4 linked regions of the Rattus norvegicus genome follow. The protein of the gene in region 1 binds, or shares a complex with, the protein of each later gene. Links are inferred from orthologs where the notes say so. Each region holds a gene or a part of one and is shown in the gene's direction. Other genes may lie near its edges.

What was found.
Region 2: Tmem126b (region 1) and Acad9 share a complex: the UniProt entries of both Homo sapiens proteins name them as parts of the mitochondrial complex. The link is inferred for Rattus norvegicus from reciprocal best matches to the Homo sapiens genes TMEM126B and ACAD9.
Region 3: Tmem126b (region 1) and Ecsit share a complex: the UniProt entries of both Homo sapiens proteins name them as parts of the mitochondrial complex. The link is inferred for Rattus norvegicus from reciprocal best matches to the Homo sapiens genes TMEM126B and ECSIT.
Region 4: Tmem126b (region 1) and Tmem186 share a complex: the UniProt entries of both Homo sapiens proteins name them as parts of the mitochondrial complex. The link is inferred for Rattus norvegicus from reciprocal best matches to the Homo sapiens genes TMEM126B and TMEM186.

Annotation. Positions count from the first base shown.
Region 1 is NC_086019.1:153,849,098-153,856,298, reverse strand, and holds the end of Tmem126b (complex I assembly factor TMEM126B, mitochondrial), read left to right. Parts: intron 1-3,886; coding exon 3,887-4,070; 3' UTR 4,071-4,218; downstream 4,219-7,201. UniProt on the Homo sapiens protein: As part of the MCIA complex, involved in the assembly of the mitochondrial complex I. Participates in constructing the membrane arm of complex I.
Region 2 is NC_086020.1:120,882,924-120,890,571, forward strand, and holds part of Acad9 (complex I assembly factor ACAD9, mitochondrial), read left to right. Parts: intron 1-636; coding exon 637-712; intron 713-2,240; coding exon 2,241-2,311; intron 2,312-2,535; coding exon 2,536-2,655; intron 2,656-5,576; coding exon 5,577-5,705; intron 5,706-7,648. UniProt on the Homo sapiens protein: As part of the MCIA complex, primarily participates in the assembly of the mitochondrial complex I and therefore plays a role in oxidative phosphorylation.
Region 3 is NC_086026.1:28,889,512-28,897,849, reverse strand, and holds the start of Ecsit (evolutionarily conserved signaling intermediate in Toll pathway, mitochondrial precursor), read left to right. Parts: upstream 1-3,483; 5' UTR 3,484-3,535; intron 3,536-7,231; exon of another isoform or gene 7,232-7,338; intron 7,339-8,338.
Region 4 is NC_086028.1:7,486,677-7,494,962, forward strand, and holds Tmem186 (transmembrane protein 186), read left to right. Parts: upstream 1-2,922; 5' UTR 2,923-3,079; coding exon 3,080-3,082; intron 3,083-4,350; coding exon 4,351-4,998; 3' UTR 4,999-6,241; downstream 6,242-8,286. Other genes in the region: Pmm2 (phosphomannomutase 2), read right to left, coding at 2,761-2,814. UniProt on the Homo sapiens protein: As part of the MCIA complex, required for efficient assembly of the mitochondrial complex I.

The DNA of each region.
Region 1 (7,201 bases):
TCTCAGCAACCACATGATGACTCACAACCATGTGTATTGGGATCCAATACCCTCTTATGTTGTGTCTGAAGACAGCTACAGTGTACTTATATATAATAAATAAATCTTTAAAAAAGAAAAGAATGGATCGATTTGCATTCTTCTACATGCTGACCAACAGTTGAACTAGCACCATTTGTTGAAAATGCTTTTTTTCACTGAATGATTTTAGCTCCTTTGTCAAAGATCAAGTGACCATAGCTGTGTGGGTTCATTTCTGAGTCTTCAATTCTATTCCATTGATCTACCTGCCTGTCTCTGTACCAATATCATGCAGTTTTTCTCACGAATGCTCTGTAATACAGCTTGAGGTCAGGGATGGTGATTCCCCCAGAAGTTCTTTTATTATTGAGGATAGTTTTTGTTATTTTGGGTGTTTTGTTATTCCAAATGAATTGGCAAATTGCTCTTTCTAACTCAGTGTAGATTGCTTTCGGCAAGATGGCCATTTTTACTAAATTAATCCTGCTAATCCATGAGCATGGGAGATCTTTCCATTTCCTGAGATCTATGATGTCTTTCTTCAGAGACTTGAAGTTCTTGTCTTACAGATCTTTCACTTGCTTGGTTAGAGTCACACCAAGGCATTTTATATTATTTGCGACTATTGTAAATAGTTTATATTATTTGCTGAAGTTGTTCATCTGCTGTAGGAGTTCTCTGGTGGAATTTTGGGGGTCATTTGAATATCCTACCATATCATCTACAAATATAGATATTTTGACTTCTTTCTCTTCAATTTGTATCCCTTTGATCTCCTTTTGTTGTCTAGTTGCTCTGGCTAGAACTTTAAGCACTATATTGAATAGGTAGGGAGAAAATGGGCAGCCTTCTCTAGTCCCTGATTTTAGTGGGATTGCTTCAAATTTCTGTCCATTTAATTTGGTGTCAGCTACTGGTTTTTCTGTGTATTGCTTTTACTATGTTTAGGTATAGGCCTTGAATTCCTGATCTTTCCAAGACTTTTATCATGAAGGGGTGTTGAATTTTGTCAAGTGCTTTCTCAGCGTCTAATATGATCATGCCTTTTTTTTTTTCTTGAGTTTGTTTATATAGTGTATTATGTTGATGGATTTTCATATTCTGAACCATCTCTGCATCCCTGAGATGAAGCCTACTTGATCATGGTGAATGATGGTTTTGATGTGTTCTTAGATTCAGTTTTTGAGAATTTGATTGAGTATTTTTGGATCAATATCCATAAGCGAGATTGGTCTGCAGTTCTATTTGTTGGGTCTTTGTGTACTTTAGGTATCAGAGTTCCTGTGGATATATAGAACAAATTGGATACTGTTCCCTCTGTTTCTATTTTATGGAATAGTTTGAAGAGTATTGGTATTAGGTCTTCTTTGAAGATCTGATAGAATTCTGCACTAAACCCATCTGGTCCTGGACTTTTTTTGGTTGGGAGACTTCTATTCTTTAGGGGTTATGGGGATGTTTAGATGGTTTCTCTGATTTTGATTTTACCTTGGTACCTGGTATCTGTCTAGAAAATTGTCCATTTCATTTAGATTTTCCAGATTTGTTGAGTATAGGCTTTTTTAGATGATTTTTTGCATTTCCTCAGTTTCTGTTATGTCTCCCTTTTCATTTCTGATTTTGTTAATTTGGATAATGTCTCTGTGTCCTCTGGTTAGTCTGGCTAAGGGTTTATCTATCTTATTGATTTTTCTCAAAGAACCAGCTCCTAATTTTGTTGTTTCTTTGTATAGCTCTTTTTGTTTCTACTTGGTTGATTTCAGCTCTGAGTTTGACTATTTCCTGCCTCTACTCCTCTTGGGTGTGTTTGCTTCTTTTTGTTCTAGAGCTTTCAGGTATGCTGTCAAGCTGCTAGTGTATGATCTCTCCAGTTTCTTTTTGGAGGCACTGAGCACTTTCATTTGTGTCCCATAAGTTTTGGTATATTGTGCCTTCATTTTCCTTAATGTCTAAAAAGTATTTTAATTTCTTTCTTCTTTCATTCTTTACCAAGTTGTCATTGAGTAGAGTCTTGTTAAGCTTCCATGTGTGCGGGCTTTCTGTTGTTTTTGTTGTTATTGAAAACCAGCCTTAGTGGTGTTCTGATGCCTGGGATTATTTCAGTCATCTTGGATCTGTTGAGGCCTGTTTTGTGGCTGATTATATGGTCAATTTTTGAGAAGGTACCAAGAGGTGCTGAGAAAGTGGCATAATCCTTTGTTCTAGGATGAAATGTTCAATAGGTATCTGTTAAATCCAATTGGTTCATAACTTCTGTTAGTTTCACTGTGTCTCTTTTTAGTTTCTCTTTCCATGATCTGTCCATTGCTGAGAGTGAGGTGTTGAAGTCTCCCTTTATTATTGTGTGAGGTACAATGTGTACTTTGAGATTTAGTGAAGTTTAGTAAAGTTTCTTTTGTGAATGTGGGTGCCCTTGCATTTGGAGCATAGATGGTCAGAATTGAGAGTTCATCTTAATAGATTTTTCCTTTTCCTTTTTCCTTCCTTATCTTTTCTGATAACTTTTAGTTGAAAGTCAACTTTATTTCATATTAGAATGCATACTTCAGCTTGTTTCTTGGTACCATTTGCTTGGAAATTGTTTTCCAGCCTTGTACGCCAAGGTAGTGTCTGCCTTTGTCACTGAGGTATGTTTCTTCTATGCAGCAAAATGCTGGGTCCTGTTTATGTATCCAGTCAGTTAGTCTATGTCTTTTTATTGGAGAATTGAGTCCATTGATATCAAGAGATATTAAGGAATAATGAGTGTTGTTTTCTGTTTTGTTGTTGTTGTTGTTGTTGTTAGAGGTGGGATTATGTTTGTGTGGCCCTCTTCTTTTGGGTTTGTTGCAAGGAGATTACTTTCTTGCTTTTTCTAGGGTGTACTTCCCCTCCTTGTGTTGGAGTTTTCCACCTATTATCCTTTGTCTGGCTGGATTTGTGGAAAGATATTGTATAAATTTGATTGTCATGAAATATCTTGGTTTCTCCATCTATGTTAATTGAGAGATTTGCTGGGTATAGTAGCCTGGGCTGGCATTTGTGTTCTCCTAGGGTCTGTATGACATCTGCTCAGGATCTTCTGGCTTTTAGAGTCTTTGGTGAGAACTCTGGTATAATTCGGATAGGTCTGCCTTTATATATTACTTGATCTTTTTCCCTTACTGCTTTTAAAATTCTTTATTTTGTGCATTTGGTGTTTTGACTGTTGTGTGATGGGAGGAATTTCTCTTCTAGTCCAGTCTATTTAGAGTTCTGCAGGCTTCTTCATGTTCATGGGCATCTCTTTCTTTAGGTTAGAGAAATTTTCTTCTATAATTTTGTTGAAGCTATTTACTGGCCCTTGAAGTTGGGAATCTTCATTCTCTTCTATACCTATTATCCTTAGGTTGATCTTCTCATTCTATCCTGGATTTCCTGGATGTTTTGGGTTAGGAGCTTTTTGCATTTTGCATTTTCTTTGACACTTATGTCAATGTTTTCTATGGTATCCTCTGCCCTTGAGATTCTCTCTTCTATCTCTTGTATTTTGTTGGTGATGCTTGCATCTATGACTCCTGCTCTCTTTTCCTAGGTTTCCTATCTTCAGACTTGTCTCCCTTGTGATTTCTTTTTTGTTCCTATTTCCATTTTTCGATCCTGGATGGTTTTGCCCTTTCTCTTTTTATCCCTTCCTTCCTTTTTTTTTTTTTTTTTTAATTTTATTGATGGGGTAGTATTGATAAACTCTATTTTTTCTTTAGCTAAGGGCTAACCAAAACAAAATAGGTAACTAGCATTTAATGTTGTTGTCTACATGATAAACATATACTGGAAATGACTAGGAGAAATCAGTAGCATTTGCTATGGGATCCCGGAGACATCTCTGACTCTTTTCCATTTTCAGGTATCACACTGTTCCAGTGCCGCCAAAGGGAAGAGTTATGCTCCATTGGTTACTCCTTTGTCAAACTGGGATGAAAGCAATGGCCGTTCCTCTGTTGTTTCAGATAATATTTGGAGTGTTTAATGGCTTATATCACTATGCTGTATGTGAAAAAGCATATGCAAGAATTGTGCCTGATGATTAACCCAAGAATCAGTGGAGGCTAGTTCAGTAGAATGAACCTCTTTATAAAAGGTCTTTGGCACTGGTGTAAAAGTGAAAAGGAACTCTGCTACTTTCACCTAGCATTATGAGATCCTCAGTAATTATAAATGTTATAAATGTTAAACAAACACAAGTTTCTTCTTTCTTTCCTCATGTTATATAGGAATGGGTTTGGAGCCTCAGATCTGACCTGTGCAGATACAGTGAGTATCTGGTATGCGTCACACACAATGTGTATAATAAGAAATGATCCCTAAAGAAAGACTTCTTAGAAGAGGAGTAAGAAATATGAACACATATTATAAGATGGCCTGAGATAAACATACTTTGAGGGAACAGAGACTATAACTCTTAACTATTTAGGCAGACGATGTTTCAGGGGAAAGTAACATGAGTTAAATGTTAAAGGAGGAATTGGAAGGTCATAAGAAAAGAAAATGTGGGAAAATCTAGAAGTGCCACAGGGCCCAGGTGGGCAGACCACTCCCAACATGTCCCCTGCCTGGTGTCACACTGTAGCATGGGCAGGGCATAGCACTCCTGAGATAACCCCAGAGCCCCAGGTGCCACTAAGATGAGCAGGTAAGTGGTGGAGAGATGGAAGAGAAAGAGAAGCAGAACTGGAAAGTTAAGGGTAGTGAGGTACAGCCTGAGGTGAGAAGCCAGTGATGCCACCTAAGGCTATGGTGAGGTCCTGACCAATACTGCTACCTAAGGCCATGTCTGGGTCCAAGGCACTGCAGCAGCAGGGGGTCTGTTACCACCAAAACCTAGTGGACTTCTCTGATCCAGGCTGCTGCCTGGGACCATGTTGATTCCTGAGGGCTGTGCAGGCTCCACCCCTCACCTGAGCATCCTAGGAGAGCTGGCCCAGAAGGAGTGATTGCAGGAATGCTGGCCCTACACTTCACCAGCTGCAGCATTTAAGAGAATGGGCCTTGAAGCCCAGAAAGTAAGGTAGAGCTGGCCCTGGTTGCTGGGATTGCATGAGCCAGGGCATAAGAGCAGGAGAACTGACTCTGTCCCTTTGCAACATTGCATGAGCTAGCTGGGGCAATGCTCAAGAGAATAGTATGGGTGTAAGGAAGCTGGCAGACTGCCCAACTCAGCTACCAACCAGGCCCAGATGGTCCACGCCATCATCTGCCCCATCTGTGAACTGCTGGAATGCAGGACTCATTGTAATGAACGTTTGCAAGTAAAGAAGTGTGGACAAAGGGTGTACTACAGGACACACTACAGCCTCCACAACGAGATTCTTTTTCTTTTGTCAGGAGGTTGCAAGGGAAGAGGGTGTGTACAAAAGGACAATGAGATGAGTAGGATTGGAGTGTATGGTATGAAATTCACAAAGAATCAATAAAAAGTTAAATTTAAAAAAATGGAGAAGGCATGGAAGTCCTTGTGCTCACAAATAAACACTAAGATAACCAAGAATGTTAAACACACAGGGTTGTCTCTTCAAAGGTAGGAATGTATAGTCTGTTTTAAATGTTCTCCATAAAGGGGCTACTTCAATTTATAGTGGGTCATTCCCACTGTGAGGAAAAACAGAAACCGAAACCAAATTGTGGAAGTAGCCAAGCTCCAGGCTCATGTAGCAGTGCCTATGCCCAACTCAAGCTGTCACTAGACTCCCCTCCCCACTGGGCTGGAGATGGGCAGCAGAAGGGGCTGCAGAGCTAGAGGGCTCTGAATTCTGGTCAGATCACACAGGAAGGCCAGCCTTGAACACACCTGGCTCAGTACTACAAGAGTGGCTGCAGAGTCCACTCACCTGGCTCTGCCAAAATGTGTCCAGCTTACAGTTTGTTTTTTTACTGGTCCATCTGAAAGGGTCCACGTTCCCAAATAATTTTCAGGGATTTTATTCCCCCTTTCTGGGCTCTTTTTGTATTAGCTCCTATGTGCTTCCAGTTACCAACACAAGTGGTTGAATTTTAGTCACTTACAAAGTTGCAGAGCAATTGGTCTTAATAATTTTTCTCTGGATCTTGACAAACATTTCAACAACTGTATAAAATGTTTTTGAAGAAATAAAGTTTCATAGATATGAGAAACAAAGCTGTAAGAAAGAAGTTTTGGGAATACAGGAGCAAGGTCTTGGTGGTCAGAGTGACCAGGCTTAATGGAAACTAGCCAAAACAAAACAACTGTTCTCAAAAAGACCCCCCCTACCCCTCCCTGTGGTAAATCCTGAGAACAACCACAAGATGTCATCCTGACCCTGCCTGACCACCCAGTTCCTCCTCCCTTCTGGGGGGACTTGCCAACTTAGCCCTTTCCCAGTGATTCTCCAAGGCCAGGTGAAGGGCTGGATGACGAAAGTGTCTAACTGAGCCAAGAACAGCCCCTTGAACAATACCTGACCAGATCCTTTCTCCTGTGTACCACCAATGAGAATAAGCCAACTAACCCTGTTGCTGAAGTCTGCCCTCTATAAAGAATAAAAGTTGTGTGCTTTTTGGGTTCGGGGTTGCCTCTCTCTGTGTGAATAAGCAACCCCACATATGTGGATTAAACCTCTTGCCATTGCAGTGGTCTCCTTGTCTATTTGTGATCTGTGGGTTGTGCCCTGAGGTAGGGCCACTTTGGGGTCTTACAACACTTTACCCCAGAGGACAGAGAAGAACCCATGCTTATTTTGCTCTATCAGTTACAGTTGTGGGTAAGAGAACTAAACTCCTACTCTCCACTTTTTTTTTTTTTTTTTTTTGGTTCTTTTTTTTCGGAGCTGGGGACCGAACCCAGGGCCTTGCACTTCCTAGGTAAGCGCTCTACCACTGAGCTAAATCCCCAGCCCCTACTCTCCACTTTTATTTGCAGAAAAGTTTCTTACCTTCTCTGAGAGTCAAACTGCACACATTGGGCAGCCATTGTAGGGGTCTCTGACCACCAGAGCTAGCAGAGTGATGATCCAAGTAGGCAAGAAGACAGTTCAGTTCAACATCACTCAATAGCCAGATTTGGTTCAAACCTCATGAATCTGACCTTCTGTAGTTTATTTTAGGCATATTTAAGCACAGCACAATTTGGTAAAAGTTTCCCAGTGATAATTAACTCAATTCCATGTGCACAACAAAGCCTAGGACATGACTGCATTAAAACTCT
Region 2 (7,648 bases), on another chromosome or scaffold:
TAAGCCTGAGGCTTCCCTCAGGTTCTTCAGTTGGACTCTCTGGTGGTGAGGAGAACCCCTGAGACTGGATGAGGTAGCGCAGCCTGTGTGGCTCCCAGCTGTTGACTATAGTGGGTCAGAATGCAGGGCGAGGAAAGGGGGGGCTGGCAAAGCCAGATAGTATGTAGCTGGCAGCAGTCACTAGGGCCACCTCTGTGTTTGCCTGCCACGTGTGTGCTGGCTGGAGTCTGGAGAAAGCCATGACCCCACGCTGAAGCTCAGCTGCTTTGTCTGCACAGCATGCATGCCGTTCCTGCAGTCCACCGCAGCGTTCTCGCTGCTCACAGCACTCAGCCCAGTTGCGTTTCTGTTCTTGCACCTGCGCGAGGACTGCCGGCTGACGGGTGCATTTAGAGTGTGGGCAATGACTTGCAGTCAGAGGCCAGTGATGCTGATGGAAATGCACAACAGTACCGAAGCCACCCAAGTCAAGAGTTAGAACTGCTTACTTCTGGCCTGAAAACTGGCAGGGGATTAACTCGGTCTGCATGCTGGCGTGGAATATGTACACACTTGCTTTTGCTTTCATGAAAACTGGTATGGCTGGCCCCCTCAGCCTCCTTCAGTGTCTCTCCACCTTTTCCACTCTCCCTACAGGTGGCCATGAACATCCTCAACAGTGGACGATTCAGCATGGGCAGTGCTGTGGCCGGGATGCTCAAGAAACTGATTGGTATGTGTCACTGCTGTGACAAAATTCTCTACAAAACTTTAGAAAGGGAGGTTGATTTTGCTCCCAGTTTGAATGCATAGACTATCTTGGCAAGGTGCAGCTAGAAAGCATCTCTGGCTGTGGCTGCTAGGATATGAGGAAGGTGGTCACGTTGTGTGTGAAGTCAGGAAGCAGAAAGAATGGGTGTTGGTCTCCCACGGCTTTCTCCTCTTTTATTTGGTTTGGAGCCTCAGCTGATGGGCTCCATATTCAGGGTGGCTCTTCCCTCCTCAGTTAAACATCTCTGAAAACCCCCTCACAAACATGCCAAGAGGTGTCTCCTAGTATAGAGACTTGTGATTCTAAAGCCATTCAGGTTGACACCAAAGACCAATCACAGTAGGGAAGTCAGGAGCAGGAGCCCTCTGCTGCACCTGAGACTGTCTGCGCCACTCCCACTGGGTGGGCAAGTCTGAGCGAGCTTCACCACTTGGACAGACAGCTCAAGTTAGCACCTGACCCTTGATGTAGACCAAATGTACTCCTTCCCCAGAGGCTGTGTATATTTTCAACACTAGTCAGGCATCTGTCAGAGCATAAAGGGTTGCTGCTTTGTCCATGACAAATATGACTGTTTAGTGAACTTTGTTCCATGAGTGAAAGAAAACATTAGCTCTGATCCCACTAGAGCCACAGGGCTCCTTGGACATAGCTGTAGGTCTGAAGTGCTGGAATAACCAGCCCTGTGAATCCACGCCTGTTGGAGCTTACAACAATGTAGGCACGCATTTGGGTTCTTCTCTCTATTTGATTAGTAGAGAAAATAAGGTCCAAAGAGAGTGGGGGTTACACAAGCCTGTGCATCGTGACCTGAAGGTAAACCTGCCTGCTAGGGTCAGGCTCCTTTGAACATGCCTGTGGCTCTCATCAGTGAGGCTCCTCGCCATCTAGAGACATGGGCATCGGAGCAGATGGGGACCAGCAACAGCTGGACCACACCAGAGGAAGGATTTGGAAAACATTTGCAGGCAGAGCTAAGGATGAGAGTAGACAGCTGGATGTCCCTCCCGGCAAGTAGAACCCAGCACTGTCAACAGCCATGCACGGTGTGAGGCCCCAGCAGAGCTTTGATGCGGAGTCACTCCCCGTACTGTAGTACTCTGTGAGCCCACTCCCATGGCTTACTTGGATGCCATGTGCACCCTGATTTGTGCTACATGCCTCCAGCCATCCACCCCCTTTACCTTCCCAGCATTCCTGAGAGGTGGGTACTGTGAGGGAGGCAGTGTTTCCTTCCACACCCTCACAACTGACTCAGCATTCTGTGTTCTTAACCTTTTTGCCTGCTGCCTGTGGACCCATGAGGCCTGAGAATTCCATCTCCAACCAGCTTTGAAAGTGGGAACTCTGGCTTAGGGCTTCTGTTTTCAAAGACAGAACCCTCACAGTTCCTTTTGAGTGCTGAAGAGTCATCATGTTGCCCTTAGAAATAGTTTTCCAGTAACCAAAAGCCAGTTTTATTTGTTTTGACAACTCTGTTCTTCTTTAGAACAGACTGCTGAGTATGCCTGTACGAGGAAACAGTTCAATAGGAATCTCAGTGAATTTGGGCTGATTCAGGTACTGTAGACTTTGGTTTGCTGCAGGTGGGAGAGGCTTTCAGTTGCTGTCTCTGTACCGTGCCTGTGGGCAGGGGAATGGGAAGACAAGTGCACCAGGCATTATTGATGCTGGGACAGCTAGGCTCTGATATAATTGGCTTTTTCAGAAGAGAGGTTAGGAGACTTATTTAAGTCTATGCATGTGTAAATCGTTTCTTGATTTTATTCTTCTAAACATTTCAGGAAAAGTTTGCGCTCATGGCTCAGAAGGCGTATGTAATGGAGAGTATGGCTTACCTCACTTCAGGGATGCTGGACCAACCGGGATTTCCCGACTGCTCTATCGAGGCAGCCATGGTGAAGGTAATCCCAGCAACTAGAGCGTGCAGGGAGATCATCCTTTGTGCTGCTACTCTTGGCTTGTCAGCCACCTTCCTTTTGTTAGTTGATGGCCCTTGATCTTGTGATTTGCACCTGTGCAGCTTTCTGGGCCAGCAGGGCCCTAGGGTGAAGCTGGGAGAAGGGATTCAGAGTGGCACTCACTTGAGTGTGAGTCTACAGGATAGCTCACTGCTTGCCTATATGGATTGTGTCCATTTTCTTTTCTTTTTGATTGTTCCTACTAAGTAGCCACAGGAGAAAACACAGACATCAAAACTTCATATCCATGTGAATTATCTGGGCTCTCCTGCAAAGGAATGCCATTTTTTCCCCCAGAGTAAATGGTCTTTCTTCTTGGTCAGAATTTTCTTTTAGAAAATTGGCTGCTAGATTCTGGTCTCTTTGGTCTGTAAAAGAACTGTGTTGACTTTTAGGCCATGTCCTGAGTTTCCTTTTTGCTGCTCTATCTTAATGTTCTAGGAACATCGCACATAGGAAATGTTCTAAAACAACCTTTGAGTCCAGAATAGTCCCAAGTTTATATCCCTGTCCCGGGCTTCCTCAGACCGTCCCTTCTCAAGATGGCCAGTGCTTTGCTGCACTGATTCTCCTAGGTTTACCTGTGAGCTATAACAAGGGAAGATAATAGTGCTGGTGTCTCACATGGATGCCTGCAGGTTAAACAAGTGACCCACAGCATTCAGCAGTTACCTTCACCTCTGGTGTTAGCTGTTTCCTGCTCTTCCTTCTCCAGCACAGCCACCTTTTTGCCAGACCTGTTCTCTGGGTCATTACTGTCAGTTGGATCAGGCTTGCCCTGGAGTGTGGGTAGTATGCCCAGAGTCATTCCATTAAAGAAAATGATTTTCCCTTCCCAGCAGCAATCAACTACTTCTTGTGTAGGGGTGTCCACTTCCCTTTCTCCGTGCTGGAATTTGTCCCATGTCATAGTCTCTGGGAGTTTATGTGTGTGTGTGTCAGTTCTTTTGTGACTGGAAACTGTTTCCTCCACGTCATGCACCACCTCTGGCTCTTGTACCCTTTCTTCTGCATTCATCCCTGAGCCCTGAGCAGGGCTGTGGTAAGTAGGGCTGTACTAAGTAGCTGGGTATTACACAGTCTGGAGGTGCTGGCTGTAGAAAGCTATATCTCTGAGGCCACAGACATCAGTCATTTTGGGCCGCGTAAACCTAGACGGAGCCCAGGATATGGGTGCTGCTAACATGTTGAGGTCAGGGCAGACCTGCAAGGAGCACACGCTGGTCGGCCATCACATCAGAGCAGCAGCAGTAAGCTCTGGAGCCTGGGTCACTCTGCAGTTGCCCGCTCCTAACCGTGTCACCTAGACCCGGCCACTTGATCTCTTAGTCTCCAGGCTACTGATGAAGTAGGGGAATAAAAGCACCGCTTGGAACTGTTGTGGAAGCTGCAGGAGTTGTAATAACCAGCTCAGGGTACCGAACATAGCACATGTCTCCTGCTGCACAGTTTTATAATAGCAAAGCATAGTCAGGACAAAAAGTAAAATGTCTATAAAATAAACAGCAGTGTGTGTGTACTTATCCATTCCCTGCTGCTTCTGTTTGGGGTCCTTTTTTGAGGTTGGCAAAGTTCTCTTTTGTTTTGTTGAAAATATCTTCTGTATCTTAGACTTGGGTTTCTTCTCCTTCCTCTCTCTATCTCATCTTTTCACGGTGCCTGGATTTTTAGAATTAACATTTTCTTTGACTTTAACATTATCCTTGTCTTCTACCTTGCCTTCGACACCTGAGAGTCTGGCCTCCATGTCTGGTCCTCTGTTGGCAGGGCTTACTCTGAGGTTTTTGACTGACTTCCTGAGTTACTCATTTCTGGTTTTACTTCACTTTGGGTTTCCTTTAGTGATTCTACTTCCATGTCCTGAGCTGTTTTCAACCTTTATCCCACTGTTTGTTTTCATGACTTCATTAATGGGCTTGTTTGTGTCATCCTTAGAGTCCTTGTCTTATGCTTCTGCTATATTAGAATTTCTCAGGTCTACTTCCGTAAGGGCCCTGGGCTCTGCTGGAGACATGTTTCGGTTGTTAATGTTTGCGTGTTTGCTCTGGCGTATCGAATCTGTAGTTACGCCTGGGGGTATTGTAGGTGTCGCCATCTATCTGGCCTTGCCTTTGTTGGGTAGGTGTTCTGTGCCTTAGTTTCTGTTGCCCTCTCTGGATCTCAGGACAGGATCTCTAGGCTGTAGGTTGCCTGGTGCTAAGAGCCACTGAGTCCGAGTCCTGAGTGGCCACTGAGGGTCCCAAGTAGAAATTGTTTCTAGGAATTGGTGGCTGACCTATGGGAATGGGCGGGGAGGTGGGGCTAAGCAAGGGTTTTTTTTTAAAGCTGTAATACAGATGACAACCCCACTTTAAAGTAACCTCTAGAACTCTTAAGAGAAATGCTGGAAGAAGTGGCATCCTGTAGAGATGGGCAGTGGTGAATCCATGAGGGTCCAGCTTAAGCTTAGGAAGAGGGGCAGCTGTGTGCTGGGTGAGACCCATTTCATTCCCATGTCCACAGGCTAGCCCTAGATCCAAGTGTCATTATCGTAGGATGCTCAGTAGACAGTGGTCATGAGAGCAAGATGGCAGACACATGAGAATGGCAAGAGTGGGCATACTTCCTAAGAGGGGAAGTCTGAGTGAATAACAGCCAGGCGTTGGCATGAGAGGCATGCAAGTCATGTTAGGATAGAGCACACAGGCTGGTGTCGTCTGTCCTGCCTGTGCTTGCCTGGAAAGTTCCGAGGTCAGGTTCTCCACACATCCTCCAACTGCATCCCAGGCAGCTGCTCCCCATAGCTTAGGTCTTGCTCTTAGGAGGGAGTGACTAGGTTGTGGAGTGCTCCCACCAGGGATTAACCTTGTCTGGGTCTGTGGCAGGTGTTTAGCTCTGAGGCTGCCTGGCAGTGTGTGAGCGAGGCTCTGCAGATCCTTGGGGGCTCAGGCTACATGAAGGACTACCCTTATGAGCGCATGCTACGTGATGCCCGCATTCTCCTAATTTTTGAGGTAAGTGTCCCCTACTGACTGACTGTACCCCCTGTATACTTCCTCAGTGATGATCTTGTACCCCCTGTACACCCCACCCTCCAGCCTTCCTAGTCCTAAGAGAGGCTGCTGAGTGTTCAGAAATGAAATGGCCTACAGTGATGTAGAGCAGGCTGTGTCCCCTGGTTGAACCCTCCTAATATATCAGTGCCCCTCCCCCCCCTGCTCTGTAGAGGGTGTTTAGACTGGAGAGACCAAAGAGTCCCCTCCATCACACTCCCGAAAGCCCATCTCACTGAGCCCTCAGCTTCCCAGTGACTCCTGTAGTTTGCTAAGTTAATGCTGGCTGGGCAGGTTTGGACCCATGTGTGAGAGACCCAGCATCCAGTCCCAGCTCCTGCTACTCCCATCTCACCCTCTGCAGGCTATAAGGCCACTGTCAGTAAATCGAGGTGGCTCAGTAGTGTCCACGGAAGACTCGCTCAGCCCTGCCTTTCTCGTTTCTTGTTATTGCTTCCATAGATGTATAAACCTGCAGGGTCAATTGAGTTGAAGAATAGCACATAGGAAGGGCATTGGGACGCCATTAGGGCCTGCCTGCCTGGAGCACACATGGAGGCATGGGAATAGCTCCCAAAGGGAGCTCGTGTCTCATGATGAACTTGATGACCCTTGGCAGAAGAACTGCCTTGGGGGGCAGGGCAGTTTGTGTGGCAAGTAGGCAAATGGCACATTCTGAACCCAGATAGGACTTTATGCTTAGCACTAGGTAAACAAGGGGTAAGGAAGTATTTGTGGACACATCAGTCACCCTGCTCATAATTTGGATACGGTAGTAGAATGTGCCGGAGTTGGATGTTGGCGGTTGAATGGCAAAGATAGAAAAGGAGCTGGGTCGTGGATGACCTTGACCAGTACATGGGTTTTGGAAGCCTGGGGAAACTTTTGATAAGGGATTATTGTGGTGGTGCAGTGTTCTCCTGGGAGGAAGGGACAAGCAAGATGGATAAGTCTTGACAGTGTCACCATGGCCATGCGAGGTGGGCACTTAGGCAGGAAGGGGGTTTGAACTGCAGTGTGGTCTGGCAGTGAGGCGAATCCTTAGACTCTTGCTAGCTCCAATGGAAGGTCTCCTCAGTCTTTTAGTCCCAGCCAATATCTCTGCCTTATCAGTCAGCCACAACCTAATAGCAGAAGGGTTAGCTTTTTCAAGAGCAAGGCATGTCTAAGCTGTTTGTCTGGTGGCTGCCCTCTATTGGCAGAGACTCTACAGAAGAGACCTAGGTTCCTCTAGATCCTGACAAGGTGGTGTGGTCAAGCAGGGTCTGCTCTCAGGACCGTAATTCCCAGAAGGTTGGGAGAGTTATGATGTGAGGTGTACTTTGTTCAGAGCCGGGGGCCATACCCCAGATCCTCCATATCCAGTTTTCCTGCCAAGGCAAACTTCTATCTCCTTGGTGCCAGTCCAGCTGACTGCAGGATGGTTCTGGCTGGCAAGCCTAGGCCAGTGGCCTACAGTTGTTCTATAGTAAAGTTGTCTGAGAAGTCTAGGAGTCCTGTTGGGTACTGCTCTTACATTGAGAAGCACTGTGTGTGTGTGTGTGTGTGTGTGTGTGTGTGTGTGTGTGTGTGTGTGTGTGTGTCTGTGTGTGTCTGTGTGTGTCTGTGTGTGTGTGTGTCTGTGCGTGTGTGTATGCATGTGTGTGTAATGGGGCGTGTCCCATGAGGAGTTTACAGCTACTGCTGCTCAGCTGTCTATTGTTTGCTGGGGATTCTGGTCTAAAAGAGAGCCATGGGTTATCTGTTCCATACTTTTGTGTCCCGGGTATCGTATCGTTTATCACCCTGGGAAATCTGGTTTCCCTGAGTATTCTGGGACCTAGAGAAAGGTGTGGACCATGCAGGACAGCCTGTGAGAGGTAGAAGTTCCAGGGAAAGGGAGGCCATATCATCTGGTCAGCCCT
Region 3 (8,338 bases), on another chromosome or scaffold:
ACCTATATGCAGACACACAGAGACACAGACACACAGACACAGACACACACAGACACAAATAAAAATATAGGGGACTGGAGAGATGGCTCAGTGGTTAAGACCACTGACCTGCTCTTCCAGAGGTCCTTAGTTCAATTCCCAGCAACCACATGGTGGCTCACAACCATCCCTCTTCTGGTGTGTCTGAAGACAGCTACAGTGTATTCATATAAATAAAATAAATCTTTAAAAAGATAAAAATATAAAAATGTCTGGGCATGGTAGCACAGGCCTTTAATCCGAGTACTTGGGAGGCAGTAGGTGGATCTCAGTGAGTTCAAGGCCAGTCTGGTCTACATAGCAAGTTCCAGACTAGTCAAGGATTCATAGTCAATAATAGTAATAGTAATAGTAATAGTAATAGTAATAATAATAATAATAATAATAATAATAATAAAAACTTTTAGACCTCTTACCCCCTCTTTCTCTTTGTTCTTTGCTTCTCTTTCCCCCTTCGCCATGCCCCCCTTTCTGTACCCATGGCGGGCCGCCTTTCTGCTCTTCTACTCTTCTCTCATTAAACCGCCCCACTTGGAAAAAAAAACTTTTAAAAAATTAACCATCGGGGTTGGGGATTTAGCTCAGTGGTAGAGCGCTTGCCTAGCAAGTGCAAGGCCCTGGGTTCAGTCCCCAGCTCCGAAAAAAAGAAAAAAGAAAAAAAATTAACCATCAAAGGCAAAGAGAAAGTCGTAACAGTGTAACTGGCTCCCTGGTCCCACCCAGCTAGCATGCCCTACCAGTACAGTAAATGGCAGAAGCCATAGTCCAAAAGGTCATAGAAAGGTCAGTAGCATGCCCATCATCTCTCACTGGACAGCCTTAACTAGGCAGTAAAAGGTTGACAGAGAGACATCAAGGCCCTAGATCTACCTCTGCCTTGTCTGGGTGTCTTACTCTGCTTCATGCCACTATAGTGAAATGCCCAAGACTGGGTAGGCTTATAAAGGATTCATCCAGTTTAATGTATGTTTTGGAGGTTAAAGGCTCAACACTGACTGATGCCTTCTTGCTGGCAAGGTGCCCAGTAAGTGCAAACAAAGCATTGCGTGGTAAGAGATGGAGAATGAGAACATGTCCTCTGGGTCCTTGAGACACACACACTTTTTGAGACAGGGTTTCTCATTATGTAGTTCTAGGTGGATTGGAAAAGACTGGTAGACCAGGCTGGCCTTAGCTCTAAGAGGTGTGCTTGCTTCTGCCTCTTCTCTTCATATGAGGACACCAGTACTCAAAAACTGGTGACTTTCGTGTCTCGCGATCACCCCTCAATGGCATCACTTCACTCCATCCCTGGGTTAAGTTCCTTCTTCTGGAGTCAGGGTCTTATTAGCCCAGGCTCCCCCATGTCAAGTGACTCTGAAGTGTTGACTCTCTATCTCTCGAGTTCTAGGATGACAGGCGGCATGTGCTGGGTTTGCTCACTTTCCTTTCCTTCTCTTTTCTTTTCTTAGCTACAGATACAGTTTGAGGCTAACCTGGGCTACATAATAATAGGTATCCTAAAATCCTAAAAGTAGCTAACATCCTAGAGACAGTTAATCTAGTGGCCAAGCACAGTGGCATGGGATGCTTATGTGTGGTCGGGTCTAGAGCAGCCCTCTCTGCAGTAGCATGTCTTATATCTGCAGATCTCTTCGAGTTCAAGGCCTGCTAGAACATAGTCCAAGAATGGAGTTTTTGTGAGGGTTCTGAGTGCTCGTAAGGAAAGAAGATATGACTCCTGTGACCTCCATTTCTTCAAGACACAGAATTGTTCTTGTGCTTCTGCCCAGGTGTAGTGAATGGCAGTGCATTTATTACAGCCCTTGTTATTCATGTGCCTCTAGGGAAGACATGTTTTTACTACGCATGGCCTTATAATTGAACACCTCACCCATGCGATGCCTCTTAACCCTCAGAGTATAACTTGCCTGAAGCTCTGAATTAATGGTGGCTATTGAAGGAGACTTTAGTCAGCCTCAAAATGAGGCTCCACTCTCCCAGGTTTACACTGCCAACTGGAGCTGTAAACAAAGGCTAAACTGGTCTGCATAAAGAGTTCCTGGCTAGCCAGGCCAAGCAACACAGCAGGACCCTGTCTAAGCAAAACAAAAGGACTGGGGCTATACCTCAGTTGGTAGAGTAACTGCCTACAATGTCAGAGGCTCTGGACTGTACCCCAGCACTACAGAGACAATGTGTGGTGGCATAGGCCTGTAATCCCAGGACAAAAGAGACAGGAAGATCAGATAAGTCAAATTCAGCTACACAGAAGTTCAAAGCTAGTCCAGGCTGCACAAGACCTTGTCTTAAAAATGATTACTTATGAGGTTGGCAGGTTAGCTTGGTAAAGTGCTGTCAAGTCTGATGGCTGAGTTCAATCCCTGGGACTCCCAGGATAGATTATAGCAAATTATCGCCACATGCACCACCCGCAAAATAAAACAATGTTAAAAAAAAGCCTATATTCAATCAATATATGTATATGTGTATGCGTCTGTGTATGCATATGAATAATATATCTATATGTAATCGCTATTATCTATACACACATACAACAAATCCAGGGCCATCCAATCATCTACACATACACTCCATAGGCCTCTAAGCTCTCAGTGTGGGTGGTCTGAAGAGTCAATCTAGACTCCCAGTTGGGGAGGGAGAGAGGGGTGTCAGGAATGCATGTCCTTTCTCACAGTAGCCCTTGTTGTACTTATATGGCCATTTCACATAGATGAATTCAAACTTCAAAAATTGTTACTTAGGGGCGGTAAAAGTGCTCATAGCCAAGCCTGATGACCCAGGTTTCATCCCCAGTACCCACATGGAAAGAACATTCCCCCTAAGTTGTCCTGACTTCCACACGAACGTGCTCACACAGATTTACTTACACACATAACACACAATGAAAATAAACATAACTTGACATTCTGTTAAAGCTGTTGGCAGTGTTGCCCACCTGAAGTTCCAGCTATTCAGGGGGCTGATCCCTGAGGATCTCTTGAATCCAGGGTTTTGAGGCCAGGCTGAGTACCACTGCAAGACCCTGACTCAAACAACTGGACCAACCAAACTAAAAAAACCCGTTTAGTAAAAAGAATAAGAATAAATCCCGGGACTTAGGCTGTGGCTTAGCAGACAGCGGTAGAGTGCTTGCTTAGCACGCAAGAGGCCATGGGCTCCGAACCGGATGTGGTGCTTCCAGTCCGTAACAATAATTTACCATCACGGCGGAGAAAACTGGACCGGACAGACGTAGGGGAACCCGATCCAGCGCCTCCGCACCGGTACCCAAGGCTTCTAGAGTTCGGTGAGCAGCAGGGCCTGCTCCTGAGGAGAAACCAGTGTCTTCCGCCTTCCTATTGGTGGATCTCCACTTGAGGGCGGGACCTATCGTCACAGGTTTTTCTGATTTGCTGTCACCTTCGACTCGTAACCGGAAGCTGTGTGGCTCAACATGACGGCGCCCAGCGGTCCCAGCTAGCCTGCTCGGGTGTGCGGGTGGCCGCGTGAGTAGGTGGGTCGCGCGTGGGAGGGCTATGGGACCGTCTGGGATTGGGGCGTCCACTTCCAAGCCTGGTAGAGCCGGGGAATATGACCTTCAACTCGACCTCAGTCAGGGCACTGTGACCTTTTCAGGTGCAGGCTTGGGAATGAGCAAGGAAAGGTTGCTGGGCACCTCTTGCTGCAGGCGTTCGTTTCACAGATGGGATAGCGGACTCGGGCAACGTACATTGTCTGTGAGGCAGGCATTGGAACCTTCCAGCCTCAGAGACTCAAAATCGTGCCAGCCCACACGCATACATACACGCTACCTCGCTGTTCCGATTTATCCATGTCTTGTAGAAACTTTCTGCTTATTCACACTCAGTTGATCGGTGTTGGGCATTTACAGTGTGCCAAGCACTGACCCAGTTGGTGGAGACACAACAATGAGAAAAACAGATTTTTTAAAAAAGTACTATCTAGGAGAGCCAATTATTGAGCAAATCACACACACACAGAACAGGTAATCTCGTGATTTCAAAACAGTGATTGTTGCAAGCAGTGTGTTTTTCCCTGATTCAAGAGTCTTTATGTGTCCCAAGCTGGCCTCGAACCCATCATGATCGTCCTCCTGCTTCAGCCCCCGAGTTCTGGATTATAGGCATACACCAAAACAGTAAACAGTAGGCAGAGGGTAAAACAAGTTCAAAGCCTGGGAAACCAATAAACTTGTCTTGTTTCAGAAACAGTGTAGCTGGTGCTACAAGAGAAAGGGGGAGTACAGCAGGTAGAAGCCATCCGATGTGTATTTACTTTGAAGTTTTATTTTGGTTATGGTGTGGGGGGTGGGACACATGTGCCATGGTGCATGGTGCAGGTCAGAGGGCAGCTCTGAGGTTTTATCCATACACCTTAGGTTGGTTCCAGGGTTTGAGCTCAGGTCATTAGGTTTGCTTTGTTTTGACAGCAAGTTCCTTTCCCAGCTGAATTCTCTCTCCCTGCTCTTGTTTAAAGTTTAGACAGGACCTTTCTGTAGCTCAGACTGCCATGGAGCTCACTAACGATCTCCAGCTGTTTTGATTCTGGAGGCCATCCTCCTGCCTCACACTCCCCAGTGCTGGCTTTACACACACAACACCTATCTCAAGCACATTTTCTTTTTAAAGACAGGGTCCCACTATGTAGCCCTGGTTGGTCTGGAACTTGCTGTCTGTATAGATTGGTTTCACCTCAAACTCAGATCCGCCAGCCTGTGTCTCCCAAATGCTGGGATTACAGGTATGTGCTATCACACCCAGCATTCTTGTGTGTTCCTGTGTGGGTACAGGGATGTATGTTAGTGCATGTACACATGTAAGCACATGTATGGAGGAAAAATGTCAACCTAAGATGTTGTTCTTCAGGAGCTGTCCACCTTGTGCTTTGGGGCCTGCTGCAGGGAGCTCAGGGCTCTGTTACAGGGAGTTCAGGGCTCTGTTGCAGGGAGCTCAGGGGCCTGCCTGCTTCTGCTTTCTCAGATTCCTCAGATTGCAAGTGCATGGCACCTCACCTGGCTTTGTAATGGGTGCTGGAGCTCAGGTCCTCATTCTTTCAGGGCAAACAGTTTACCAATGGATCCATCTTTCCAGCACAACTGGTTTCTGTTGTTAAGAGCTTCCTTTTGCAATGGAGGGAAGTAACTAGCAGGGCAGAGAGAAGGCAGAAAGGTATGCAGGAAATCACTGTGGAATGGTATGGTGGCCTGCAAGGGGATAGGTTTGGAAGTAGTCTCCAGGACTATCTATTGACTGAATAGGGACATAGTGACTGCTGAGCAATTCTTACATTGGGGCCTGAATAACCAGGAAGGGTGGTGCTACTGGCTGGCCTCCAGAGAAGCACAGTCAGCAAAGGTGTTGTCAGTGTTCCCTGGATGGAGTTTGGCATGGCTGGTTTGTACCAAAGTTATACTTAGGTATGGAGGCAAAAACATTAGGGAACCATGAGCATAAACACTAACAACTCTAATGCATGAGGAGCCACCTATGGGTGTTACAATGCAGATTCTCATGCAGTAGACCTGAGTTACAGCCAACATTCTACAGGTCCTGGAACACAATTTGCAAGGTTTTAGAGTCTTTTTATCCAACTATACCAAGCAAGTACCTACCTTGAGCCACACCATCAGCCTTTCCGTGGGGGATTCTAGATAACACTGAGTCTCAGTTCCAGCCACTCACTAGGGGAATCTAGCAGAGGCTCACTGGGCCCAGCAGCTCCCTGGAGGAGTCTAGGCCAGGTCTATAGAGTCCCAGCCTGAGTCCAGTCTAGTTACATTTCCTAGGCCAGCAGCTGTTGATAAAAGTTGTCAGAAGTATGGTCATGTTTCCACTAAGCCTGAATCTACAGGTTTTGTGCTCCCAGGGCATTTGTCTGCACCCTTGGCAGTGTTGCAGATAATGCTGACATTGAAAGGCATCTCATGATTGGCTGAGAAGTAGGCACGGGTGCCAGGGAGAAACCCAAGGATGTTAGCAAGGACTATAAGGGAGGGGACGTCACTGTCTGATACTTGGAAGTTGACACCTCAAAGTCATTGCCTTCAAAGTGTTGAGCACAGCGGTGCATTGGGCGGGCATTACTGACAGGACTAGGGCAGCCGTCAGGCTGCTGAGGAGGAGGAACCAGTGTGTAATCATGGCTTAGGGGAAGCTCTAAGGATAAAGAAAGCAGGGAGTGGAGGGAGATTTGGGGCCAAGATGGGAGATACTGGAAAAAGAGTTGGATTTTTTTTCTCCTTAAATAGGTTCTCATATGTAGCCTGAGCTGGCTTGGAGCTCACAGGAGTCTGGCTGCCTTTACTCCTGAATGCTAGGATTAAAGGTGTGCATTACTGTGTCTGGCTCAACTAGAGAAGGTTGTTTGTTTGTTTTTACTTAGAGAGAGAGAGAGAGAGAGAGAGAGAGAGAGAGAGAGAGAGAGAGAGAGAGTGTGTGTGTGTGTGTGTGTGTGTGTGTGTGTGTGTGTGTGTGTTCATCCACTGGAGGAGCGGAAGTCAGGACAACTTGTGGGGTCAGTTCTTTCCTTCCACTCTGGATTTCGGGGATGGAATTCTGGTTGTCAGACTAGCAGCAACTGCCTTTGTCTGCAAAGCCATCTTGTCACCCCAAAAGGAGTTTTGTTGTTGTTTGGTTTGGTTTTCTTGGTTTTCTTTTCCTGATTTTGAGACAAGTTTTCCTGTAGCCCAGGCTGGCTTCATACTTGCTGTGTATCCAAGGCTGATCCCACCTTCCACCTCAGCACTGGGATTTACAGGCGTATGCACAACACCCACCTCCAGAAAGTCTTAGTGGTGGCAAGAATGATCCAACCTCTTCCTAACATGTTCTCTGTGGCCTAGCTACCCTGATACAAAAGCAAACAGGTATACTAAGGAAACTACAGACTAGTGCCTCATGAACACAACTGTAAAATTCGCTTGCAGTGGGCTTGCGAGCATGCAAAAAGAATTCTACATCTTGCCTAAGAGAATTTATCTTCAAAATACAAGGTTAGATTATTTGTTTTTGTCTTTTTTTTCTTTTTCCAAAGCTGAGGACCAAACCCAGGACCTTGTGCTTGCTAGGCAAGCGCTCTACCACTGAGCTAAATCCTCAACCCATTTTTTTTTTAAAAGATTTATTCATTTATTATATATAAGTACACTGTAGCTGTCTTCAGATACACCAGAAGAGGGCATCGGATCTCTTTACAGATGGTCGTAAGCCACCATGTGGTTGCTGGGAATTGAACTCAGGACCTCTGGAAGAGCAGTCAGTGCTCTTAACCACTAAGCCATCTCTCCAGCCCTGCAAGGTTAGTTTAACATCTGAAAATTTATGTATATATTAATAGAACAAAACCCTAAAATCACATCATTATTTCAGGCAATACAGAAAAGTATTTGAGAAAATCCAACAGTTACTCTTTTCATTTGTCTGAAATGACATCTCACTGTGTAGAACAGGCTGGCTATTGTGGTCCCTGCAAGTGTCACGGCCAGCAGGGAGCGGTCCAGATGAAGTTAAGAATGAAAGTTGGGTCAGCAGAACTTAGCTGGTACTGGTTCCAAACTTCTGGAGTCTAATGCCAAGTGACTTATTTCTAACACCTTTAAATACAGTAAAACTTTGGGGATAGGTTTCCATGTAACAATTATTACAACAGAGCTTCAGGCACAGCTGCATCGAAACTCCCTTGGAATGCACATCTCTAGCAAAGCACCTTTCCACAAGAGTGGCTGAGAGCAGTAGCAGTGTTCAGGACAAGGGCCCAGGGAAGAACAGGCAGAATAGCAAACTCTTTTGCAAAATACATGGGACCTCTTTCACGAGAATGGGTTCTCTGGACTGAGACAAGGTGCTCACTATGCCCAGTGAAAGAATAGATTCTTTTGCCAGAGTTTAGGAGCCAGACAAGGCTGTGTACTCTGGCCACTTCTCAGTGCTGTCAGTGTTGAGCTGCCAGTAGTAGCACTCAGGCAAGAGAAAGAACAGAGCGGCCATGGAGACAGTGCAGAGAGTTAAGTACTTCCTGCAGGAGCCTGGCCACCTGAGTTCTATCTCAAGTACCTAAAGTAAAAAGAGGGGACTGGTGAGATGGCTCTTTGGGTAAAAGTGCTTGCTGCCAAGCCTAAGGACCTGAGTTCAATTCCCAGCACCTACGTGGTAGCTCACAACCATCTGAAACTCCAGTTCCAGAAGATCCAAAGCCCTATTCTGACTTCTCCAGGCGCCAGGCACTCATGTGGTGTGCATACATAAAGGCAAAGTATTCGTACATATAGCAAAAGAAAATTTTTTTAGAAATAAACAAA
Region 4 (8,286 bases), on another chromosome or scaffold:
TAGCTTATCTAGTACCTGGAGTGGCCTCCGTCCTGGCACTGGAAAAGGGAATGACAATTAGGACACTGAACAGTGCCCTGAAGTTCAGGACCTTGAACCACAGCTGCTGTAGGAGCGGAGGCGTCAGGGCTTTACTAGTTTCAATTTCCTTATGTTAGAATGGTGGTAGCTGGGTAGTATATGCCTTTATTCCCAGCATCTGAGAGGCAGAGGCAGGTGGATCTCCATGAGTTCGAGGCCAGCCTGGTCTTCAGAAATAATCCAAGGACAGGCAGGGCTACACTAAGAAACCCTGTCTTGAAAAACCAAAACCTACCCAAAGAAACAAACCAAACCTCTATGGTTCCTGGGCCAACTGAAGAGCAGTTTCTATAATAATTTTATTTTTATTATGTGTATGCATGTATGTGTGCCACAATGTACAAGGGGAGGTCAGAAGACAGCTTGTTGGAGGTGGTTCTCTCTTTCCATCATGTGGACTCCAGGAATTGAACTCAGGTCCTAAGGCTTAGGGGTGACCACATCTCAATGGCCTCTGTAATCAAGTTTTATTAGAACATAGTCACTCTTTATATATGGTCAATGGCTGCTTTTGCACTAAAGTTGAGTAGTTACTGCAGGCCATATGCAAAGACAAAAGTACTTAATATATGACCCTTGACAAAATACGAATTCTGATTCCCGGCTCTAGACTACTATTGGCTTTTAAGTTCTGAAGGTTTGTCTCAAACACTTTATATAGCCTAGGCTAGCCCTGAACTTTCAAATCTCCCTGAAGGGATTAAAACCCTATGCCACCTGCCCATGTAGCTACTGGCTTGACTCACCAGTGTGTGTTGGGCAATGAAGCTAAGTCAGGAAGGGCTCTGGAGAACTGGTAGTGGAATGTCATCACTGGACAGATCACACTGGCTCAGAAAAGTAGAATGAGGGACAGAAGAGGGTGGGTTGTGGTTCAACTACAACTAAGGATGCATTTAAAAGCTTTCTGAAAACCTACTACTTGGTAAAGTATGTATACATACAAATGTCTTCTACAGGACATGAATTATTTAAAAAACAACAACAAAGAACAAAAACGTTGGTTCCAGGTGTGGGGGGATATTGTTGACCAGAGAGAACTAGGACCCCAAAATAACACGGGCTATTGAAATTGCTCTTGGTCGCCCACCCTAACTAAATGGTAAATCCATATTGCTGGAGACACTGCACACTTCAGTTTCAAGACACAGAGACATCAGGCTGGAACTGGCATGTTTAGCTTTCATAGTGCTGGAAGGTGCTATGTAAAGCACGGTGGAAGGAAAGTCATTTGGGGCATTTCCCAGCCATGGGTCCTGCGAGACAGCACTGACTTGCTGGGCAATGTGTACTGGCTTGTGCAATGGTGGAATGACTGTTTTGGGGGTAGCAAAATCACTTCCTGGTTGAATATAAGGCCGATTCCACAGGAAGGAATTAATGCCTCGTACAGTACTTGGTCAAAAGTCTATGACTGTGGAGCTCATAGGCACTGTGGGGAAACCTATGGTTGTTGTTTTGTTAAATGGAAATCTTGTCAAATTGCCTTCTAAATATCTATGTTTATACCCATAATTAATGCTGCTCTCAACCCTGGTAAGAAAAGTTTCTCTTTGTAGTGGGCAGTGGTTAATGCAGACTCATACCTGGTCAAAGTGCTAAGAATAAGTAGTACCCTTTATCAACCCTGCCAAGGCTCGGGGGCAGAAAGAATGTATGAGTTAGAGGATGGAGAGAAGTGTGGTAAACGAAATGCTGTCTTCTGGACATTATGAATTCAGCAACCATGGTTCCCTGTACAAGATCAAGCCAGTTAACATTTCAGCATGGGTGATATGTTGCCTATCACTTGATGGATGGCTGTGTGTGTGTGTGTGTGTGGTGTGTGTGTGTGTGTGTGTGTAGCACTAACTGGACTTAGAGAGGTATTAAAATAAAAATTTTAAAAAGGACATGAAAACAGAAGAGGGTGTGTGGGTCAGTGTTCTCCATAGGGAGCACAGGAAGGTTGGGGGGGGGGTGAATACAATCGGATACACTGTACACATGTAATTGCAAAGGAATAAAAAAATTAAAAAAAAGATAGACTGACATATCTAAGGTTACACACACTACAGGGGCTTCTGGGACACAGTCCACGAAATCTAAAAGGGGTGGGGCAGAGGTGGCGACACCCAAGCTATTTGAGCCTACTCTCATTTGTATGATTTCTGTTCAATCATGCATTTGTGCATAGGAGGCAGAGAGAATGCCATCACCAGAACGAACCCACACAAACTTATCTTTGGCTATAACAAGTTCGGTTAGCGGAAGGAAGTCCCACCGGACTTTCTAATTAGTCTCTGTGATCCTCACCTAAGCATCACATTTAAAGGGGCTTCAAGGACTCCGCGAAAGACATTTGCTCAAGGTCAGACAGCTGAAAACCTGCCCTTGATATACTAGAAGAGACAGTCAGAGGTGACAGGGCTGGGGAGGTGACACAGCAGGTCAGAGGGTGGAGGCTGGAGTTCAATCCAGGACACCAGACCCGAGGAACCCTAGAAGAAATTCGGACCCGAACTTTTCGACTCTGAACACGTTTCCTACTCGGAAGGCTTTTCTGGCCCCCTCTTCCTGCGCATCCCACTCAGGACCCCGCTCAGGACCTAGGTCTACTGGTTCCCGGACAGTCCTTACGGCGGTCTGGGGCAGCAAGGGCTCTGCCCCACCACCAGGAGCTCCCCGGGCGCCGCCTACCTGCCGCGGGGCAGTCAAGGTCCCATCCATGTCAAAGAGACAGAGCGTGGCCATTTCTCCAGTCAGAAGACTCGTTGGCACCCGGAACTCCACCCGGAACTTCCGGGTCCGCTCCGAGCCCCGGAACTCCAAGGCACGATGGGAAGATTCTCTAATGGCTTACGGGACACTCGGGGCGGATACAAAATTTGAACTACAGTTCCCAAGCCGTAGTACTTTTTTTTTTTTTCCTTGAGTTAGCGCATTAACCTCCCGCGCATGAGCCCTTCAAGTTTCCGGGGACAAGGTCGGCGTACTTCCTGTAGCAGGCGACAGGCTCATGGTAGGAATGTCAGGTGGTGGGCGGTAAAGGAGGGACCGCACTTAGCGACCGGGTCCGGCCTACGACTGGCAGGAAGGATACCTGGGCTGCCCACTCGGGAAATCAGTCGGTGGAAGGCCAGAGTGTATTTTTACGTGCTATTTCTCTGCCTTGTTTCTTTCCCTTGGGTCACATGGACGGTCTTCATCGTCCCAGTGCGCACACCAAGTTCAGCGCTTAAGAACCATGTCTCGGGGTTGGGATTTAGCTCAATGGTAGAGCGCTTGCCTAGCAAGCTCAAGGCCCTGGGTTCGGTCCCCAGCTCCGAAAAAAAGAGAGAGAGAGAGAAAAAAAAAAAAGAACCATGTCTCCCTAGCGTATTCTGAGGTTTTCTTTGGAAAGATGAAGGATGCACAGTTAGTGTCCTCTTACTCTGAAGCCCAGAATTTGCTCACTCTTCTACTTATTCCAGACAGTCATTGTGCAGTGTGTTGAGGGCCTCCGTGCCTCACTTCTCTGCTTCCCAACCAGGCTAATTCATGCGAAGAAATTCTCTTGGCGTGTAAGGCAGTCAGAGGACTGCAAAGGTTCTGTGATAAGTACCCCATGGTTTTGTTGTGTGGGTTTCCGACACCGATTGATTTACCCTTTGAGGAAGGAAGGAAGTTTTAAGTGCACTGTTGGCCCATCTCTGTTGAATGGCTGGACGTACAGGTTTTCTATGTTTATTTGGACCTGCTCGGGGGAAAGGACCTGTCTGAGTGTCAGAGACTGCTTTTGTTTCCTTGCACTTGGGGCCAGGGCCAGGGGTGGGGAGGGCCTAGGGTTTTTTTGGTGTTGTTGGTTTTTTTGTTTTGTTTTGTTTTTTAATGCTTTTTTAAAATTTGTTTTAATCGTGTGTGTGTTTAGTTCGTGTGCATTTACTTGTGCTATGGCATGTAGGGGTCCAGGATGTCCTGCTTGAGTAATTTCTCTTCCTCCACCATGTTGGCTTCAGGGATCAAATTCACCCGGTTTGGTAGCAAGCCCCAGTTCTAGATGGGCTATCTCACTGGCTAGGATTAGGGTTTTGTTTTGTTTGCTTGCTTATTTAGTTGTAAAAAATGGGAGAATGGTACTTATCTAGAGTAGAATTCCACAAAAAATAAAGCTTCTGGCTTTATCACTTACTTTCCTCTGGCAGTCACGGTGTCTTGCCAGGGTTGGTTGAAGCCTTTCTGGGAGATGCTTTGCCTTGTTCATTGTGTGATTAGCCTGGATGATTTCTGAAAGGAACCTCTCTCTTCCAGGCTTTCCTCCTTCGAGCTGTGCCAAGGCTGCAGGGGCCCGCTGCATGGAGGAGGCCTCTACAGCAACTGTGGTGCCGTGCTGGGCAGGGGGATTCCATAAGGTGGGTGGGGAGCAGGTCTCCCCCCTCACAGGAGAAGCCACCAGGCACAGAGACTGAAAAATTCCACACAATCTACCGCTTCAATGCCATCAGAGCACTTGGGTTCCTGTCTCGGCTGAAGTTGGCACAGACAGCTGTGACTGTGGTGGCCCTGCCCCCAGGCTTCTACTGCTACTCACAAGGCCTCATGACCCTCAGCTCACTGGGCCTTATGAGTGGGATTGCCAGCTTTGCCCTGGTCATGCTGTGCTGGATGAGCCACTTCTTCCGGAGACTGGTAGGCATCCTCTATGTGAATGAGTCAGGTACCTTGCTTCGAGTGGCCCACCTGACCTTCTGGGGCTGGCGACAGGACACATACTGTGCCGTGTCAGACATGATACCCCTGTCAGAATCCGAGGAACGGGTCCAGGATGTGTTCGTGCGTATCCAGCAGTACAGTGGCAAGCAGACCTTCTACCTCACCCTACGCTATGGCCGAATCCTGGACAGGGATCGTTTCTCACAAGTATTCGGAACCCTGGCCACACTCAAGAACAGCAAGTAGGCCGTTGTAGCCCTGGTCAAGAACATGGATGAGACAAAAGCTAATACCAGGGACTGGGCTGATGCTCACTTTGTAGACTGCTTGCCTAGCATGTAGGACTTCACATCCTGGGTTCAGTCCCTAGTACTGCATAGAACCAGCCATGACTGTGCCTGCCTGTACTCAATACTGGTGACATAGGCAGGTGGAGAAGTTCAAGGTTGCCTTGGGCCAAAAAGGAAGGCATTAACCAGCTTTAGGAAAAAGCCCTTAGTGGAACATTATACTATATAGGACATCCTGTCAGATAGTGGCCAGAAGTCTCTATGAAGAGGCAGTTCCTAGAGGAGCACTATGCCAAGATCGCCGAGGCAGCCCGCTGCTGTGAAGCTGCAAGGTGGGAGGGTTGGCAGAGGAGCATAGGATGTGGAGCCTGGGGACTTGGGTTCTGCTGAGCCTTAGTTCCTTGACCTGGGACAGGGTATTGAGTTCCTGAACCTTGAATTGCACTCTGAGATGGAAGACCCTTCCTCTCATGAGGACGGATATGAAAATAATAATGGCTGTGGCTGTGGCTTTGTGACAGAGCTCTTGCCTAGCATGTGTAAAGTCCTAAGTTCCATACCAGCACCATGAACAGGCAAAACCAGTGTGTAAGGTAAGCAGCCAGAAGTTACAACGTAGAGCAAGGCTTCCAGGCTGCCACTGGGGTCCATCACTGGTCCTCAGGCTCACCAGCTGAATGGCCACAGCTAAAGCCCAGAGTGGACTTGTTTCTCCCGTCAGGAAGTCACTGTACACCAACTGAGGTAGGAGCAGCATCCCCTGAGACTACGTGATCACCAGGAGATCTGGGGTGCTCACACTCAGCTTTGCAGGGTCATTGGGGCAGAGGGACTCTGTCCAGGCAATAATTCTTCATCTGAGGGACACTGTGTGCTGCTTTTCACAATGAATAACAAGCACATGCTTATTAGGTGATTGTACCTGGATTAAAGGAAAGCAGCCCTGGTCTTTGTAATTTGTCCATCAGAATGCTTTGTTTTGTAACTGTTTAATAATTTCCTTCCCTTAAGAAATTTTCTTTTGGGGTGGAGAGATGGCTCAGAGGTTGAGAACACTGATTGCTCTTTCAGAGGTCCTGAGTTCAATTCCCAGCAACCACATGGTGGCTCACAACCATCTGTAATGGGATCTGGTATGCTCTTCTGACATGCAGAAATATATGCAGAACACTGTGTATATAATAAATCTTTAAAAAGAATTTTTCTTTTAATTATTTGTGTGTGTATACTGTGCACATAGGAGATTGGAGGACAGCCTTTTCCAAGTCAATTTCCTTTTATCATTTGGGTCTCAGGGATTAAATTCAGGCTTGGCAGCAAGTACCTTCACCCACTGAACCATCTTGCTGGTCCTCTATAAAATAAGCAGAGCATGAACACGGATAACTATTAATAGAAGTGTGTGTGTTGGGTTGGGGATTTAGCTCAGTGGGAGAGTGCTTGCCTAGCAAGCGCAAGGCCCTGGGTTCGCTCCCCAGCTCTGAAAAAAAGAAAAAAGAAGAAAAAAAAAAGTGTGTGTGTTGAGGGGTCCACCACAAGGCCTCAACCAGGCAGGGGTAGTCTTCCTCAGACGAGGGCATACCAGTTAGCTATCCAGTATGAAATGGGTGGCCCTGAAAACATGCAGGTACAGAGTGAGCGAGTTATATTTAGAAGCATATGCACATACACACAGCAATATTTAAGGAAAGAAGAGGCCATGAATTTGAAAGGGCAAAGGAGGATATAGGGAGTTTTGGAGGGAGGAAAGGGAAGGGGAAATATGCGTAATTATATTGTAATTTCAAAAAGCCCCTTAAATGTGCATATCGAATCATAACTTGTCATTGTCCGGGCACGCAGCGCAGCCTTGTGTTGGCAGCCATGGCCGCTGGCTAATTCCAGTACTTCATTACCTCAGGTAGGACGCAGGCACTTGGCCACCGCTGCCCCTGCCTCTGTCTTCTCCCCACCGCCACCTGTTGGCAGGCGGCAGCCAATCTGTCTCTGGATTCGTTATTCTGACATCCATGGAGGGAATCATGGTTTGTTTCCTAGCGTTAACTTGGTGTTGTTCAGAGCTTAATTCACGAGTCAGTGAAGTGTTCGTGGATTTGTTCATGACTGGACTCTTGGGGTGTTCTTGAATGTGAATGTATGTGTTTACCAGCAGCAGGTCAGTGGACATCATGGGTTATTTTCACCCCTCGCTATGTGAGTAACACTGATGTGAACGGTACAGAAGTGCTTGCTTGTGTCCCTGCTGTGGATAGAGAAGGAAGTAAGAAGCACAAAAAGGTGCTAGTAGGTCCTAGTATCCTCCGAAGCCCTGCTTCAGTGACCTAACTTCAGTAGGTCCCACCTAGGATTCTTTTTAGCTTTGTTTTTTCCTAAGGTACTTTAAAAAAAAGAAGAAGCATGTATTTTATGTATATGAGTGCTTTTTCTACTTGTAGAGTCTGCACATCAGGAGAGGGCATCAGTTCACAAGTTGTGAGTCACCACGAATGCTAGGAATTAAACTCAGGACCTGGGGAAAGCTAGCCCTGAACTCAGAAATCCTGGAGCCTTTGCCCCTGAGTGTTGGGATTAAATAAAGGTATGCACCACCACGTGGGCCAGGCTTATTTCAGTGTTTTTGTTTTTGTTTGTTTGTTTTCTTTTGACAAGCTTTTACAATTTAGACTTAAGCTGGCCTGCCAAATTCAAAAGAGATCCACTTGCTTCTGCCTCTCGGCTGTCCTGGAACTCACTCTGTGGATTCAAACTCTACCTCCAGAGTGCTGGGACTAATGGCATGTGCCACCACCACCCAACCAGCCTGTTTCGTAGGGTCTTTTTGTTTCAGTGTTTTGAGACAGAATCATACTGTGATCCTAGGATTTGGGAAGCAGAGGCAGGAGGAGCACTGCCAGCCTGAGGCCTAGTCTACATAGTACCAGGATTGCATAGAACCTGTCTGAAAACACAACAAAACCTTCAGCCCGTCATAACTGGAGCACTGCAATTCTCTTGTTGATACCTATCCACCTAGATGTGAGCAAGCTTACACCATGGCTGCAAGTGCCTCTGGCCTCCATGCCTTTCCCACTGTGAGAACCATTCTTAGAGCCTTACAGTGAAGGGGTGTAGGAAGTGGGATGCACTGGGCCGTGAGAACATAGCCACGTGTGCAGGATGTCAGCGATGATGGAGGCCTGAGTGTTTCCGACCTACTTTACCAACAACGATCCTCCAAAACTTAAAGGATTAATAAACTTGGGGT